Linked DNA regions of Rhinolophus ferrumequinum. The protein of the gene in region 3 purifies or fractionates together with the protein of the main gene of each other region. This does not show direct contact. Links are inferred from orthologs where the notes say so. Each region holds a gene or a part of one and is shown on either strand. Other genes may lie near its edges.

Evidence for each region.
Region 1: the proteins of PPP4C (region 3) and SUPT5H purify together in Homo sapiens (affinity purification with mass spectrometry; 3 studies listed by BioGRID and IntAct, with this or other methods). This does not show direct contact. The link is inferred for Rhinolophus ferrumequinum from reciprocal best matches to the Homo sapiens genes PPP4C and SUPT5H.
Region 2: the proteins of PPP4C (region 3) and CCT3 purify together in Homo sapiens (affinity purification with mass spectrometry; 5 studies listed by BioGRID and IntAct, with this or other methods). This does not show direct contact. The link is inferred for Rhinolophus ferrumequinum from reciprocal best matches to the Homo sapiens genes PPP4C and CCT3.

Annotation. Positions count from the first base shown.
Region 1 is NC_046298.1:38,600,598-38,606,383, reverse strand, and holds the start of SUPT5H (transcription elongation factor SPT5), read right to left. Parts: upstream 3,494-5,786; 5' UTR 3,338-3,493; intron 3,059-3,337; coding exon 2,984-3,058; intron 1-2,983. UniProt on the Homo sapiens protein: Component of the DRB sensitivity-inducing factor complex (DSIF complex), which regulates mRNA processing and transcription elongation by RNA polymerase II.
Region 2 is NC_046305.1:842,439-848,224, forward strand, and holds the start of CCT3 (T-complex protein 1 subunit gamma), read right to left. Parts: upstream 3,529-5,786; 5' UTR 3,403-3,528; coding exon 3,372-3,402; intron 1,512-3,371; coding exon 1,450-1,511; intron 752-1,449; coding exon 701-751; intron 610-700; coding exon 547-609; intron 1-546. Other genes in the region: TSACC (TSSK6-activating co-chaperone protein), read left to right, coding at 4,689-4,725. UniProt on the Homo sapiens protein: Component of the chaperonin-containing T-complex (TRiC), a molecular chaperone complex that assists the folding of actin, tubulin and other proteins upon ATP hydrolysis.
Region 3 is NW_022680357.1:1,029,528-1,035,313, reverse strand, and holds the start of PPP4C (serine/threonine-protein phosphatase 4 catalytic subunit), read right to left. Parts: upstream 3,547-5,786; 5' UTR 3,437-3,546; intron 3,225-3,436; 5' UTR 3,161-3,224; coding exon 3,063-3,160; intron 1-3,062. UniProt on the Homo sapiens protein: Protein phosphatase that is involved in many processes such as microtubule organization at centrosomes, maturation of spliceosomal snRNPs, apoptosis, DNA repair, tumor necrosis factor (TNF)-alpha signaling, activation of c-Jun N-terminal kinase MAPK8, regulation of histone acetylation, DNA damage checkpoint signaling, NF-kappa-B activation and cell migration.

The DNA.
Region 1 (5,786 bases), on a different chromosome or scaffold from region 3:
CGCCTGTTCTCCTTGATAAACAGAGAGACTAGCAAATTTCAGAAAGGTGTTTGAGACACTGCAGCACCGAGGTGAAACTTTCCCTGACCCAGTCAAAAGACAGGACGTGGAATGAACTTAAAAGGAAGTAACTTGCTCAGTAAATGATCCAATGAGGCTGAAGGTCTTATCCTTACTCCACCTAAAAGCACCTCTCTTCACCCCTCGCCCAACCTGGAAAGCATCTGGTAGTCTTGGGAAGCCATGTGCTAAAACCTGGATCTGATCATTTGGTCCCCCATTTAAAACACAGCCACAGCTCCCCTCAGCTCTCGGATAAGGAAGAAGCGCCCCAGCAGCCTGGACTAGAAGCACACTCTGCCCACTGCCTCTCCTCCCACCTCCCTGGGCTCCCTCTTCAAATGCTAGGTCCCAGCCACACTGAACCGCACACTTAGCACAGTCCATCATCCAGGCTGGTCCTCTGCATAACAAGCTATTTTGCTCTGCCTCTCGTTCACGTTTCAATCAAAGTACCCCTCTTTCAGGAAGTCATGCCCTCTCCCCACCAGGCAAAGGCAGGCACATCCTCTGCAGTCACCACCCTCCGGGCTTCTTCCACCACGTGGTCAGGGAGGTGACCACGATGACCTCCCTGAGAGCAGGGACCAGGCTATTATCTCAGGCACTGCTGGGTCCCCAGCATCACCCAGCCCATGGCCGGGAACACAAGATGACTTAAGAAATATTTGCTTTAATACAGAATCCTGACTAGCTCACACAATCCACATATGAACAACTCAAACTACAATAGGATCACATCCTGATTTCTAAAAACCTTGTCATCACCCTCAGTCCCAGCGTACCCTTCTTTCCAAACCCGGCTCCCCAGTCCCCGAGGAGAGAGCTCCCACTACTATCTCTGTGTTACCTCAGGACTTGAACGTGCTCTTACACCATGCCGTCCTCAGGATTCCCCTCAGTACTGGTCCCTCTGTTTATGAAACTCTCCACCCCAGGACAGAGGTCTCCACGAGGGAGGCTGTGATCCCAACACGACAGGAACTCAAGGAACACATGTCGAATTAGTGAATGAGCAGGTTACTGGGGCTGAGAAGAGTGAACCCGAAAGTGGCTCATTGTGTACCATCCCCTACCTGTCTATCCGTGGGACCCAGTTCTTCAAGGGCCATGCCAACATCTGGCTGTCTGAAAAACCCATCCAGTCCCATCTCTGGCAGTGAGGGCGGGCTTCACACCGCCCTCATGCCTCACCTGGTGACAGCAGACAAGCCAGCCTAGTGTGGTGTTAAGAGTGAGACTTGCACAGTGCAAAGCAGACTACCCCAGCCAGGAAAAGGAAGCGGGGATCCTGGTCTCATTACCACCAGGCTTTAACCACAAGCAAAGTGTCCTGAAGCCATGAGTCAGAGACCAAGGACTCTTGAAGCAAAGGCCCTTCCTGGCATCCTCCTATTTGCCCCACTCCCCCAGCACGATATCCCAATTCCTCCAACTCTTCACCGGAAGCTGAAGACTCCCCAAAAGGCACAAGGTTTGACAATCAAATGCCTACAGAGGGCAAGCATGCAACATAAATAAGCTCAAGGGAATCCCATGGCACTCTCCGTCTACCTTGTGTTTTCCATAACACAGGCATATGACACCTTTCCTTTTCTTAAATCTGCCACAAGACAGGCATGATGATAAATGGTGATTTATGTATCCTGGAAACTAGAGAAAATTCCCAGTTCTAAACAGGGCTGCTACTTCTTGAGCAAAGAGCTACTATATGGAACAATCCTGAGTCCCAGTTACTGGCTCCTCCCATTTCCCCAGAAAAGCAGGAAATGTTGATTTTTACACGAAATCACCCTTACAAGTGTTGGCAACTAACTTACAAAATAAATTCCCATTTCTGTAAGGCTAAATGAAACCCATATAACCATCCTTTGTTAATTCCCTTCTACTAAACTCCCTGAAAGGACAGATTTGCCTTGTTCCACTCTCTCCAACACCTAGGATGTATCTGCAGCACAACGTAGATGCTCAAACATTTGTTCAACAAATGAGGAAATCAAAAATAAATACAAGAGGATAACAGTGAGTGACAATATTTGAAATCAGATGTGTCCCAGGAAATGTTTGATATTTAGTTCCTGAAATGGCGACATTCAACACACCCAAAGCCGGAGTGATCCTTTCAAAACATTAGATCACATCCCTCCTTTGCTCGAAACGTTCTCATGGCTCCATCTCACTCAGTTAAGGATAAATTCCTCACCACAGTCTTCAAGATCCTGTGTGATTGGGCTTCTTTCTGTTACTTCTTTGCTGCACTCTCTCTGATCCAGCAAAAGTGGACTCCTTGTTACTTCTTGAACACCGCAGACATGCTCCCAACTTTGCACTGCCTGTTCCCCCTTACTGGAACACTCTTCTTCCCTATGACATGACTCACTCCCTCACCTCCAACAAGTCTTTTTTCAAATGTCACCCGCTCAGACTCACCCTGATTACCCTATTCAAAGTGCAACGAGGACTCCCTATTCCCCTTCTCTACTTTCCTGCAGAGTACCTGCTAACATACTAATGATTTACTTATTATGTTTACTTATATTCACAAGGCAAAGGTTTTTGAAATCTGTTTTGTTTACTGGCGTAGCTCAAGGGCAAAGACTTGTGCGTAGCACATAGTAGGCAGTAAAAACATCTTTCTAGAATGACTGAACATACCTAAAAATAAAAGCTAATAGTGAGTGCTCACTATGTGGCAGGTCCTTTCACCACATCGCTTGTTACCTACCTGTACCCGGGGCAGCCCTGGCCTCCAGCACCTGTCCCCTCTGCTTAACCTGGGCTTCCCTACTTGTCTATCTCTCCCGACAACCTGGAAGCTCCGCGAGGCCAGAGCTCATTTTGATCCGCTCTGAGCTCGCACAGGGGCCTTTCTGCTTTGGTCCTGTCCCCAGGCGCCATGCCCCCCAGCGCCCCAGCCACAGACCTCGGCCTCCTCGCCGTCACTGCTGCGCTCGCTGTCTTCCTCCTCGGAGAAGTTGCTGTCCTCGCTGTCCGACATCTGCTCTTGCAAGAAAAGACGGCGGCCTCAGTGCGTCCCCCAATCCCGAACTCCACCCCGAGCCTCAGTATCCCCGCCGGTTCCCGGCGAGAAAAGCCCCTTAGCGCACTTCCGGCAGCCTCGTTCTGGCAACCGTGAACCCGAAAGGAGACCCGCCCCCAACGCCACCTGCTACACCTCTAGAGTCCTTGAATCCGGTCTCTACACCTCCCTGGTTCCCGGCGACCCCTGGGCCTGCTACGTCGGCTTCCAACCCACCCCTCACCGCTCCGGCCTCACCTCCACCTTCGGCACCGGTTGCTGTTCACACGACGCCTGGCTGGGAATGACGTATCCTCTCGCGATAACCTACCGCATGTCCTCGCCTAACGCGAGATTTCTAGGGCTCCTCCTACTCACTTCCCGGGTACCGTCTTGAGAGTGGCAGAGCTATCTTTAGGTAGCACTTGGAGCTGACATCTTGGGAAGGTCAAAGAGAGGGAAAGTAACCTTATATTGCTGTGTATAATACGCACTTTTTTGCCCAAATTTGTGTGTGTGGGGGGGAGATAAGGATATGCATTATACATGGGTAGTACTAATTCAGTATCTACATAAATGTTTTTGATTATTTTACTTATGCTTATGAGTTAAAAGTGTAACAGTAGGGGTGGCCGGTTGCTCTGTTGCTTGGTGTGCAGTGCTCATAACACCAAGGTTGCCGATTAGAACCCCACATGGGCCCCTGTGAGCTGCAACCTCTTTAAAAATATATATACATATATATGTTATATAGCATATATATATATATGCTAAAGAGCATAGCAACAGAGCTGCCAAGAGACACTTTGGACCTCCTCCCACAGAGAGTGTCATCAGATTGTGGAGGCAACAGGAAGAAAAGCTTCTTCAGATGCTGAGATAGAAGAAGGCAATGCAAGGGAAACCTCCAAAGTGGCCGGTTTGGAGCAAGAGGTAAAGACCTGGATTCTGGAGGAGCATCAGACTGGGATCTCTGTGTCAACCAAGATGATACAAGAAGAGGGTAAAGAGATTGCACGAGAAAAAACAATATTGATGATTTCTCAGGGACACCTAAATGGTGCTTTAACTTTATCAAGAGAGAAGGTTTAAGCATGAGGACATGAATGAAACTTGCCCCAAAACTTCCAGCAGCCAATGAGAATCAAGTTTTGGAATTTCATTCTTATGTTATCAATCTTCAAAAGACTTACAACTTTGAGTTGTCCCAAAGCGCCAATATGGATGAGGTCCCACACACATTTGATGTGCCATCTAACAGAACTGCAAACGTCAAAGGAGTAAAGACCAGGGCTGTTTAAACTAGTGGACATGAGAAAACACATTTCACTGTTGTTCTAGCCTGTTGTACAGATGGGACAAAGCTACCACCTATGATCATCTTTAAAACAAAAATGTTTCCAAAAGAAAAGTTTCCAAGTAGAATTATTGTCCACGTACATGAAAAAGGATGGATAAATGGAGAAGGCACGAAAATCTGGTTGAACAAAGTCTAGTCACAAAGGCCTGGAGAATTACTTAAAAACCCAGCTTTGCTTGTTTTTGATCACTTCAAAGCCCATGTTACACGAAGTGCAAAAGCAATTGCAGTGGCCTTGAAAACCCAACTCGCTGTGATACCTGGTGGGCTAGCCGGCGAACTGCAACCTCTTGATGTATCAGTAAACAAGCCCTTAATGGTCCTCATGAAGAATAGAGTGGATGTCGTGGATGCAGTCAGCTGGTAATGATTTAACACCTACAGGCAGAATCAAGAAAGCATCCATCGCCCAGGTTTGTGATTGGATCCTAAGATTGTGGAACGGTATCAAGAATGAAATTATTGTAAAATCGTTTAAAAAATGTGGCATCAGCAGTGCAATGGATGGGATGGAGGATGATGAAATTTACTGAATGAAGAAAGTGTCTAACTCTTCAGAAAACACCGGTAATGTAGAAATTAAGGAAGACAATACTTCTGATATTGACAGTGACGAAGAGTTCTTGGCCTTCTATGATGTGTAAATATCATAAATTTGTTACCGGTACATATTAATAAAATTATTGTACCTTGTATCTGTTCTTGTCTTTTGTAATTATTTGTTACATAAAATTTCTTGTACCATATGTTAAAAAGTGCTAAAATTCCTTTATAATACAAAAAAATACCTAAATATAAACAAATAAAAATTTGAATTAAAAAATTAAAAGGGGGGCCGGCCCGGTGGCTTCAGGCAGTTAGAGCTCCATGCTCCTAACTCCAAAGGCTGCCGATTCAATTCCCACATGGGCCGGCTCTCAACCACAAGGTTGCCAGTTCAATTCCTGGAGTCCCGCAAGGGATGGTGGGCAGTGCCCCCTGCAACTAAGATTGAACACAGCACCTTGAGCTGAGCTGCCTCCCAGATGGCTCACAAGGTTGCCGGTTCGACTCCCACAGGGCATGGTGGGCTGTGCCCCCTGCAACTAGAAAACGGCAACTGGACCTGGAGCTGAGCTGCGCCCTCCACAACTAAGACTGAAAGGACAACAACTTGAAGCTGAACGGCACCCTCCATAACTAAGATTGAAAGGACAACTTGACTTGAAAAAAAAAAAAAGTCCTGGAAGTACACACTGTTCCCCAATAAAGTCCTGTTCCCCTTCCCCAATAAAATCTAAAAAAAAAAAAAAATTAAAAGGGGTCGGCCCGGTGGCTCAGGCAGTTGGAGCTCCGTGCTCCTAACTC
Region 2 (5,786 bases), on a different chromosome or scaffold from region 3:
ATATTAGGCCAACTGACCTATTACAGTTTTTCTGACAACAGAACACTATCTTTTATTTACTGGGAGCACCACTGTGGTGGTTGAACTGTGTCCTCCAAAAGGACATGCTGAAGTCCTACACGCTGCAAACTACAAATGTGACTATATTTGGAAATGGGGTCACTGACCATGTAATCAAGTTAAGATGAGGTCATAGGGAATCAGTGTAGGCCCCGACTCCAACCACTGGTGTCCTTACAGTACGACACACAGGAGACTTCCACGTGACAAACGAGAAGGAGACCGAGTTCACGAGCCAAGGAAGGCCAAGGATATGGTCAGCCGTCAGCAGCTAGAAAGATCCTGCCATAGGCTTTCAGGCGCACGGCTCTGCTGACACCTTGATTTCAGGTTTGTATCCTCCAGTCTAAAGAACACACTTTTGTTGTTTAAAGCTTCCTAGTTTGTGGTCATTTGTTCCAGCAGCCCTAAGGAACTAGTCATCATCAATACATCTTTCTGGATCCTTTATAAAGGTGTGAAATCATAATGAAAAGTCAGTCACACCTCTCGAAGAATGGCATTGCCGTCATTGGTCATCACAATGCCTCCCATCGGGTCCAGAAGCATCTAGGACACAAGCAAAAGTTATATTTAAGTTTTCCAGATACCAGAAAGGGAAAGTCTGTAGTCAAAGGCTTTCAGTATGAGAGGGGCCTACCTTCATCATGGACTTGGGTCCCAAACATGTTCGGATGATATCTGCGATGGTCTAGTGGAAGGAAAATATAAACACATGAGCACAAGTCAGAGGACAGGGTGAGTGTCTGTGTTAGGAAAGGGGCACGAGGGACCCACAGAGCCCGTGGGCTAGCAACCCCCCCACCAGAGCAGGGTTGGCAAGCATCTTAGATGCTGCACGCCGTGTGGCCGCTTCCGTTCTGTTTTCCCCTTTGGGAATGCTTTCAGGGTGGAGGTAGAAAGAAATGACTTTTCACAAGAAAAACGGGGACATGCTTCCCAGATCTTCAGTTTCCCAGCAGTCCAGATAAATGCACGTCCATGTCTTAGGAGTTCTTTCCATCACAGTAACCTCCACACCATGCTAAATCAGACCCAGTGAGGGCTTTTTATGCCAAAGATACTGGGTCCTATCTGGGATCTACAGTGGGCACTCGGAATACAAGAGGGGATACACACAGTCCTTCCCCACAGGAACTCAGTCTAGTAGACAGACACAAATAGGGTATTATTATAAGATACACAGCGATGGAACTTTGTCAGTATGAGAAGATGCTTAGGCCTAACGCACAGAGAAAGGGCTTCCTTCGTTCTACCCCTATCAAGGAAATGACCTAAAAGAAGGGAAGTCAACCTCTCCTCTGCCTAACTGCAAACAGATACAGAAATACTAGGGCAGGCAGCTGGAGGAAAACCAGCACACTGTAAACAATTCCACGGATAGGCTACCTTGGCAGCATTGATGTTTCCAGATTGGACTTTTCTTCCAGATTCACGCTTTGTGTTCTGGCCTAAAATAGATAAGACAACAGTGCGGGATTGTCCCATTATATATAAACTATTTACTCCCCGACTTCTGAAAATAGAAACAAATGCACAGGTTCCATAGGTGTCCACACAGATCAAAGCTTATCAAGTTGTACACTTTAAATATGTGCAGCTTATTGTATGATTACACCTCAAAAAAACTGTTAGAAACCACCCACGATGCTTCAACTTTGGAATCTTGGTCATCACTTTCCCTCTAACCAAACACCCATGTATTTACAGCATGGATTCATAATCTGAGATTCATGAGTGGGCCTCTGTGGCAAAGTGAAAATCCCTGAGATTATATGAGAAAATGGGGGCTTCGTCTGGGAAAAGGATCTATAGCCTCTCATTGGATTCTCAAAAGGCCGGTGACCCTAAAAGAAGCACAAATCACTTCTTTATGTAAAAGGGAGTTTGGGGTTCATCTTTCCCTACTTGGAGAGGAAGAATCATACTCGATAGACCGGGCATGATTACTGACAGAGCCCCCAGTGTGCTGTGGGATGAGAACACACTCTTCAAGTGTGTCCCCATTTGCAAGCTAGTCACTCCATGCTTGGCTATAGCAAGACTGCCTCAGTCACCCACGTACCATCAGTAAGAGCTGTTACCTACTTTAACAGAGAGCACAGTGGGTTATAGCCACTAAGGCCAGGGATGAATGCAGACCTGAAAAGGACTTCGAATGCACCACTCACCCCAGGGCCCCCTCAGTGCAGACAAGCCAGTGGTCCATAACCAAACCAACACCCGCTCATTTCCTTCCTCTCTCCCAATTGCACATTTTCCTGCCAACGATTTCAATCTGAAAAATGTCCAACCCAGTCTCATCAAATCTAAACATTCACAATTCTCACGCTTTAGATGCCTATTTCAGGCCGTGGTGAGTAAAACCCTGCATGAACCTTTCTGATGGATTCATCCGAAAGAACAGGCATTTTTCTGGTTACGGGATTCCCCTCCCCCCCTAAAAAGAGTTATTTCCTAGGTGTAGGGAAAATGGTTAAAATCTCTGAACGGCGTTCCGTAGACAGAAGACACTATGGCTAGTTGGGGATCTTAGGTGGTCTTGCAGATGGCACACAGAAGCGACACACAGGACGGAAACAAACCAGGGGAAGCCCATGGACGAGGCGCTCGCCAGTCAGAAAGAAATGTGGGATGTTTTGAAGGGTAAAGAGAACCCGTTAAGAAATTTGGGAAAACTCAAGTGGGTTCCTGGGAAGGATTACAACGCAGGCGACACGCAGGGAATAATTACATCTAAGACAGACAGAGAGACAGACCAGGGAGGGAAGCGGAGTTACTTCAGGTACAGGGACGGGCTGCTGAGCGGAAATTCAAGAGGGCCGTTAGGGAAAAGTGACAAGGATACCCACCCCTCGCTGTTCGCCAGCCCCTCTTTTCAGCAGTTCCTCTACTTATCTCGTTTGATCCTCACGGTTCTACGGGGAACTACCGTTCACCCCAATAAGACAGATGGAAACACTTAAGCAATTTGGCCGAGGACAACCGCTGCTAAGAGACTGACCGAGGTTCCCGAGCTGGGCCAAACCAAAACACCATCATCCATTCACCTACACGCCGAAAACCACGCCGAGAAGGGGGCAGGGGCTCCCCGGGGCGGGAAGCCGTGAGGACAAGGTCAGTTTGCGTCCGTGAAGACAGCGGAATGGACTAAGGGGAGACAGGAGAGCGGGAGAAGGGGCTTCCAAAACGAGGATGACTGGTAGGCTCACTGGCCGGACCATGGCGGGACTGGGCTGGGGCAACCCTGAAAAGTGTAGACCGACGGGGAGCGAAAAGGGGGTCCCTCCATCGGCTTCCCCTCAACTCACTGAGCACGAGCACGGGACGATGGCCCATCATGGCGGCGCGATGCGGAGCCCGGGACCCAGAGCTGGGGGAACCGGCAGAAGCTTCTGGAGAGAGAACCTGAGAGAAGCCCAGAAAACGCTGCCTTCTCAGGGCTTACACCTAAACCCGCTACCTTCCGGGTCGCCGCCAATCAGCGCATCCACCTCACTGACCGGCACAAAAATAAGCCAATTGGGATTCTTAGCCCCGCCCCCTACGCAAGAACGTCTGGGCAAGCTAGATAGAGAGAGCACGAGGATGGAAACGGCGCTTGCGCAATAGGGTGGCCGCTCCCGGCCGCGTGCGGCGCGAGCTTCGGCGCAAGCGCCAAGGCTCGGGCAGTTGGCCGGCACGTCGCTGCGCGTGTGATTCAGCTGCAAGGGTGGATGCTGGGGTTGTGGCTCTCAATTAACACCGCAGGTGATGGCATTAGACTGGCTTGCACCTCAGCTCCTCTCAGGCCGCGAAGGTCAAGAAAGCAGTGACAGTTTCCGTCACTCTTTCGATCCAGCCTTAGCTACAGGGAGGAATAGAAGGGAGGGACTTCAACCGGCGGTTAAGGGAAGACCTGGCGGGTTGGCCGCGGGGTGAAATGGGAGTTGTAGTCCTATCGGGCACGCTGGGAGTTGTGGTTTATTGCCTCTGGTCTCGTTGCTGTGCGGGAACCTTACCATTCTTAGGCAAACGCTTTCTACTGACCGAGGCTGTGAGCGGCGCCAGAGGGTGATGGCTTCCTTTCCACCCCACCACACCCTCTCCCCGTTATTCTATCCAAAACATTTTCTCAAGGGTTCCACGTAGGGCTTTGAGATTGTTTCTCCACGCCCGTTGCCTCCCCTGCCCTCTTGACGTCCACTCCACTGCTAGTCCATTAGAGACGACTGAGCCAGAGCTTTTCAATTACCTTACAGGAAAGGAAAAGGGCTGATACGGAAATTAAACGTGGAGAGAACACAAGAGAGTAATTGCCCGTTCGTAGGAGACTTTTAAGGTTTGGGTTTAGTTGCATTACTATTTTGTCCAGAAAAAAAAAGGAAGCAATAATAACGGAAACAACTGTATTCCAAACTAGTGAAGGGGCTAGGAGAGCACAAACAATCCATGAAGAGTCACTTAACATTTGGCCATAAAATAAAAGAGTACACCCTTTCCCACTTTTTCCTCCCCAAATTGGAACAGCCTGAGATCTGCCAGAGAGAACTTAGAAAATTGTCAACAGTAAAATAATAGCATGGTTGTTGATCACGTGACCCGATGTTTCTTTCCAGGCCTCTGGAAACACATCTGTGGGTGCTCAGATGGAGGACCCTACCGGTCATCCTACTAACAGAAAAGGTGTGTGCCGGAGGCTCCCCCTCCCTTAAAAGCCAGGCCTTAATTGCTCCACATTTGGGAAAATGATTCTAGTTGTATATGTTTTTTCCTGTTACTTGGCTAATTGGGAAGTATGTCTTTGTTCTGCATCCCACGTAATAGGAACATTGCTGTATTCCCAGTGCCTAGAACGGGACCTGTTAAATTATCGATGCTCAATAATTATATGTTGAATGAATATAATATTCTTCCTTTGTATCTCCTCTTAATACTTAGAACAAGACTTTGTGTACAGGGGTCCCAGGAGACATAGTGTCGACTAGAGTGAACAGATAACTAACTCAGGTTGAGCAGGGCAGCCCCACTGGTGGCCAGGGACATGCCCAAGGCCATCTGTCTAGCCACTTAACTGCAGGTAGAGCAGAGTACTTGATTTGAGAGTCCTGCGATGTCATACCTTGGACATCAGTGCACTAGCTCTTTCCGCAGAGCGTATTGTGCAGTGGTAAAGAGCACGACTTTGGAATTGACAGGCCTGGATTTAATTCCAGCACTGCCACAAGTTAATTGTGGAATCTGGGGCAAATTTCCTAACTTCAGTTTCCTCAAATAAAATATGGCTAAAGCTACCGACTTCATAAGGTCATTGTGACAAATATATGAGATAAGATGTGGAAAGCACCTTTTGTCATTATTTTTATTGTTATTCTGTCCTGCCTCCTTTTGCTTCTCCCCAGCATCATCCTCTGTTATTGTCTAATCAGAAATTCAGAGGCTGCTGCAGTTGGGAGGGAGGCTGAGATAGTCACGGAACAGGAAGAAGAGCTGCAAAAACCAGGGTCCCGGGCACTGGAACGGGGGTGCAGTGCCTGAGGGTCTCTGTCTGTCTGTCCGTCTCCCTCCTGGTTTCTCATCTCTTGCTTGTACCTGCGTCCCTGACATGATGGCCAAATTCCATAGCTTTCATTGGCCCCAGCTTTACATCTCCGCAGCAACTCAGAAGCAAGCAAGCTTCTCCGACACAGAGTCCAGATGTCATCCCCGGGGGTGACTCGGGCCCCGCTTGCCTCCCATACCTGCCC
Region 3 (5,786 bases):
TGGTTTCCCTGCTCGAACGAATGGCCGCAGTCACCCCTGCGGGACTGCAACCAAGGCAGCGGGCTCCCGGGTCTGGCTTTTCTCAAGCTCCTGCTCAGCCTGCCCTCTTCCTGCCAGTCTCTTCCCACCAGACTGGGGCTCCCCGAGCTCCTCAGGCTTCCCTGGAGGTCCTTCGGGGTGCTGTGCACGACACAGGCAGCTCCTGGAGGTGTGCCCTGGCTTTCTGGGGATGGGAGGAGGCGCTGGCTGTGATCCCGGGGGCCCTGCAGCTACCAGGCTCTCCCACCTGTACTGCCCCTGTGCTCAATCAACATCCTTCCACATCAAGCGCTTACAATGACCTTTGCGACTGACTCGGGGAGGTTCTTTTCATCCTCGTCTGACAGGTAAAAAAACCAAGGCTTAGAGAAAAAAGGGGCAGGGGCAAGGTCACAAAACTGGAGAGAGCCTGAGCTGGAACCCAGGAGCCCAACTCTCTGAGAATTTCTGCCAGATTGTGGGTCAAAACCCAGCCTCGGAGTTAGCAGCACCCCAGCAAGGTCCGGCAACAAGGCCCAGCTTCCCATCCCAGCCCTGACGCTTGCAGCACACCACCCGCCCTCTCAGGGTTCACATTTGCTCACCTTTCCTCCCACAACTAACACTGCCTTTTGTACGTGCTCATCAAAGTGCCTGGGCCTGTCCTCAGATTTGCAGAATCTCGTTTGAGAATCCTAAGGATTTCAAAGACTTGCAGAGGTAAAGGGACTTGACCAGGGTCCTACGATTTACAGGTGACAAAGCTGGGATTCGCACTGAAGACCCCCCGATTCAAAACCCTCTGCTCTTCGAATATGCTGACTTTTTTTTTAAGGAGGACGCAGCTCACAGTGGCCCATGCGGGGCTTGAACCGGCAACCTTGGTGTTACCAACACCATGCTCTCACCAGCTGAGCTAACTGGCCGCCCCTATGCTCACTTTTAGCAGGACCAAGTTCAGCTCGCACACGTCAGGCCGCTGTAAACCCACAGGCTTGAGTCTACACACCCTCGGAGCGAGCCGAAGCTCTCGACACTGCCGGCATGGGCACCGGGCGGGTCCCTAGGTGCTAGAGCCGGCCCTTCCTCAGGCCGTGCCTGGGATGACAGTGGTCAGCTCAGGCCTCAGGCCAGAACCTCCGAGCTCCATCTCAGTTTCAGCTGAGCTGGACCCTCCCACCCCTCAGTTCTCCTCAGCTCCCTGCTGCGTCTCTGACAGCCTGGCTGTTCACAAGCTTAGAGCACAAAGACCTGCCTCCAAAACCCAGCGCCCCTCCAACCAGCTGTGAGGCCTGGGTGAGACGTTAGCTTCCCTGAGGCTCGATTTTCTCTTCTGTGAACTACTCACCCCAGCCCTGCCTATTCCAGTGGGCAAAGAACAGTGAAGACAGTATGTAACTTCTGTTATCCTGGAAACGCCACCATGCTACCCAAGCTATTATCATTACCAAATTAAGGTCCTATGGGGGGAGGTGAGACTTACAGGGTAAAGATTAGTGCCAGGCAGCAATCCTAAAAATGCCAGTCAAGACTGAGGAAGCACGCAAAACATGAAAGAGCTACAGACAAGCATTTAAAAAGGGGCTTTGCCCACTCGCCAAAGCCACGCAGGCCCTCTCTGGCTGCTACGCGTCTGTCTGCGTGGGGCTGAGCCACGCAAAGAGCCTGACGGCCACAAGGTCGGAGCCCAGCTCTGCCACTTTCTCTCTGGGTGACCTCGGCCAAGTCACGAAGCCTCTCGGAGTCATGGAATCCTGTTCTACACAGTGGAGGAGGTAATTCCAACCTCATGAGATGGCTGTGGAAATGGCTATAAATGCTTTGCTAGTACAGCGCCAGGCTAAGAGTGGGCCTGTTGTTCACTCTGCCAGCTCATGCAGGGTCACTCTGCCGGCTCTTCCCCCACAATTCTCCAGCCTGGTGGAAGCCCTTCAAACAGGACCTCAGAGGAGGCAGGTAACTGGTCTCCTCACTGGGGACACGTGACAGCGCCTCCACTCCTACTCTCAGCCTGCTTAGGATGCCTCCCTCCCCGGGCCCGCTGCCATCGCCTGGCCAAATTCTTTTCATCTCCCAAGGCCCCCTTCTCTTAGAAGCCTTCCCGGACCTCTTCAGTCCAATCAGCATTGCCCTGGTCCTACACGGTAACACCACCGAAGGATCGCTGCGCTTACATCGCACCAACGCCTGATGCGAAGCTCCTCCCACACACCAACTTACCGACTTCTCACAACCACCGTACTAAGTCCTATCATCCCCATTTTACAGGTCAAAAAACTGAGATCTCCCGTAGAGCTGGTCAGTGGCCGAGTCCAACCTACAGCCATCATTCACCACGACAACGCCTGGGGCCTCTTAACCACTACATATCCCACTTGCCACCGAACTCGGAGTTGGGCCTGCCTTCCTACGCTGGATTATACTAATACTCTGACTTATCTACTACCGTTTCTTAGGCTCCCACACAGAACATGCGTGATCCAAGTCCACCTTCGTGCATTATGGCCTGAAAAGGGACAGGACACAGAGAACGGGCTTCAAACTCCATCCCTGACTTGCTGGTTGACTCTGAGCCTGGGGCCTCCCCTGTAAAACGGGGACGCCACCACCCATCTTGAAGGGCTGCTGTCCTGTCGGAATTGTGAAGAATTTCACACACCACAGACTCTTGAGCCTTTCTGCCTTTGGACTTCGGTTCTGGCAGACGCTGCCTTTTGTCGTCGTCTTCTTCACGGCCTGCCCCAAAGTTCAGCTCCTCCAAGAAGCGTTCTCTGTACCCCCCCCCCCAACAGATAGGGCTGTTTCCCTGCGCTTCCAAAGAACTTTCTAGAACTCTCTAACTCCACTGAAAACACATCATCGAATACTTTCGGGGTCTTTATCCAGGTCTGTCTCCATCGCCCCCCGACCCCCGCACAGGCAGGTTGCTCCCCGAGGGGAGAAGGTTCCGGGATGGGCCAGGCCCCGAGTGCTCGGCTAGGTCAGCCCCAGGCCGGAACCGTGGGCAGCGGCGGGGCCCCCCGGCCCGGGGCCGGCGGGCTCACCTGGCCTTAGCGCACAAGGCCTTGACTTCGCTCTCCTTGATGAGCTCGCAGCGCCGCAGCTGCTCGATCTGCCGGTCCAGGTCGCTGATCTCCGCCATGGCCCACCCCCCGGCGCGGGTCAGAGCCGGGGCCGCCGCCCCCTCCGCACCGCACAGGGGTCTCCTGGGAAAGGCGAAGACGAGCCCAAATCAGAGTGTCCGTAGGGGGCGCCAGGCGTGGGGGGGCTCAACTCCATCCCGGAGCCGGCTCGGTTCCCCCCCCCCCCCGACCTCCCCTCACATCGCCCCACGGCCCCGGCCGCCCCTGGCTAACTCCCGTCGAACCCCGCGATCCCGCGCTAGGGACGGTGGCCTAGAGGGGTCCCCGACAATTACCGCCGCTGCGACTTCGACTCGGGCTCCCGGGCTCCTCGCCTACCTCCTTCCCTCCGCTTCGGGCCGCTTCTACTTCCGGCCCCGCCGCGGAAGCAAAGGAGGCCACTTCCGCCGTGCACCGGAAGTGGCGTCATACACACCCGTCTCCCCGCCCCCACGCCACGCCCGGAACCCCCGCTCCCAAGCCGGAGGGTGGAAAACGAGCCGCAGGAACCGGATGTCAGCTACGTGCGCGCGGAAGTCGTTGTGGGCGAAGCCCATCGGGGCTGCGAGGGCTGCGCGGGGACCCCGCCAGCTCCTCCGCCATCTGCTAGGGCATCCGCAGCTGAGCTGGGTGGGGGGCTCGCCTGGTCATTTTAGGTGTTTTTTTTTTTAATTTGTTTGAGTTGACTTCCCCCATTAAAATCCCTGAGGGATAGAACTTTGGTTCACACTTGCAGCCCCAGTGCTTGGAACAAGGCCTGGCACGTAGGCATACATGTCAGTATTCGTTCAATGGATGAAGGAACCCCACCCAGCCTACATCTAGTTCCACGACCCCCGAGAAATTTCTGCCATGGGGGACCTCGGAAGTTAGAGGCAGAAAGGAGTCCCCTCCCCCACAGCAAGCCTGTGCCTCCGTCCGCATGACCTCCCTGACCTCCCTGATTCCAGCATGATCCCCTTGACACCCCTCAGTCGGTTTCTGTTGTCTGCCAGTTTTATTCCTTTTTTTTTTAAAAGAGGAAACTGGCTCAGAGAGGGTAAGTCACCTGTTCGTGGTTGCATAGCTAAGTATTTGGGGTTTGAATCAAGGTTGAAAATTGAACCCAGGAAAAGTGGTTTGGTTTCTCGTCCATTTCTCACACCACTATCTGGAGCTTGACTGTGTTTCCCCAAAAATAAGACCTCACCGGAAAATAAGCCCTAGCATGATTTTTCAGGATGACATCTCCTGAACATAAGCCCTAATGCATCTTTTGGAGCAAACCTTAATATAAGACCCGGTCTTATTTTCGGGGAAACACGTGATAACAAGTCCCAAATTCCCCAAACTGGTATTTGAGTTCCCCTGCTTCCCTACTCTTTGGCTGCCAGAGGAAGCCATTGGTCCTTAAGCAAACTTTGTGTCTGAACCTTTGTACACACTACTCCCTTCTGGAATGTCCTTTCCACTATCTCTAATTGACTTCAATTTTTGTTTGCTTTACTTCAGATTTTGAGTCGAGGGTAAGCACAGATATTCGAGCCAAAGTTTGGAGGGAAACTAGGAGATTTGGTTTTGTACGTAGGCAACGTACAGAGAGAAGGACCAAGTTCTTCAACTCCGAGAGGGTACTACGTTAGTCAGTACTATGCAGGTCACTACAGGCATGTAGTAGGTGCGGAGATCAGAAAGGTCAAGACGATTTTTTCTCTCTCTCTAGGAGGGAGCTCAAACAGGAAAGGGCCCGTATCAGGAAATTTGGGAAATGGCAGGACTATGATTAGGATCTTGCCAACAGCTGAGACCTGGTGTATTGACTGCTCCACCCCAGCCTGGGTGACTGGGGAAGGGTTTGAGGTATGGCATGGAGGTGAATGCAGAGCCCTCACTCTGGCTTCGTGGAAGACAGCAGCTCGAGGCTCAGTTCTTAACTTGAAACCTGAACTCCACCATTCTCTGTGTGTGTCTGCATTGTTGAGGGAGTTACTAGAGAGGATTCCAGGTCCTTCGAGGGGTTCCCCAGCCCAAGAAGACTAAGAAGCCAGTTCTCATCCCATTTCCTATGAAGGTGGGAAGCCAGAAGGTTGACGGTGTAAAGAGAGATACATTAATCGTCTCGTCCCACCGAGGAACAGCGCGGTCTCCAGTCGTCTCGGGAGAGTTAACGGCACCTGCGCGTTTAGGACACTTATAACGTTACCTGGCTCATAAACTCAGGAAGTCTTGGCTTTTGTTAGTGGCTGTTAGTCACAGGGGCCTTCTGCACCCGGCGGTTCTGGGCCCAAAAGAGGCTGAGCCTGCAGTCTCCAGCAGTTACGCCCGCATGCCCCTGTATGGGCCTTATCTGATGATGCTGGTCAAAGGGGTTAAGAGCCCTTGGTGGTTGGAAGAACATTTCATTTCACAAGCTCTCCTTGAGGCCGTGGGCAATTATAAAACAAAGCAGGAAGGTCCCACCCCACGCCCTTCACCTTTGTCTTACTCAAGAAGGAAGAACATCAAACAAGGGCTCTTTCTTCTGGGCTCTGCCACCTGCCCAGGCCCACCCCTGGCCCAGAAACTACAGACAGGGACAACAAATTCCCCCTTAAATAGCTGTTTATTGGCAGTGGGTTGGAAAGGGTGATGGAGTTAGCGTACACAGACCACACCACGCACCAGTGT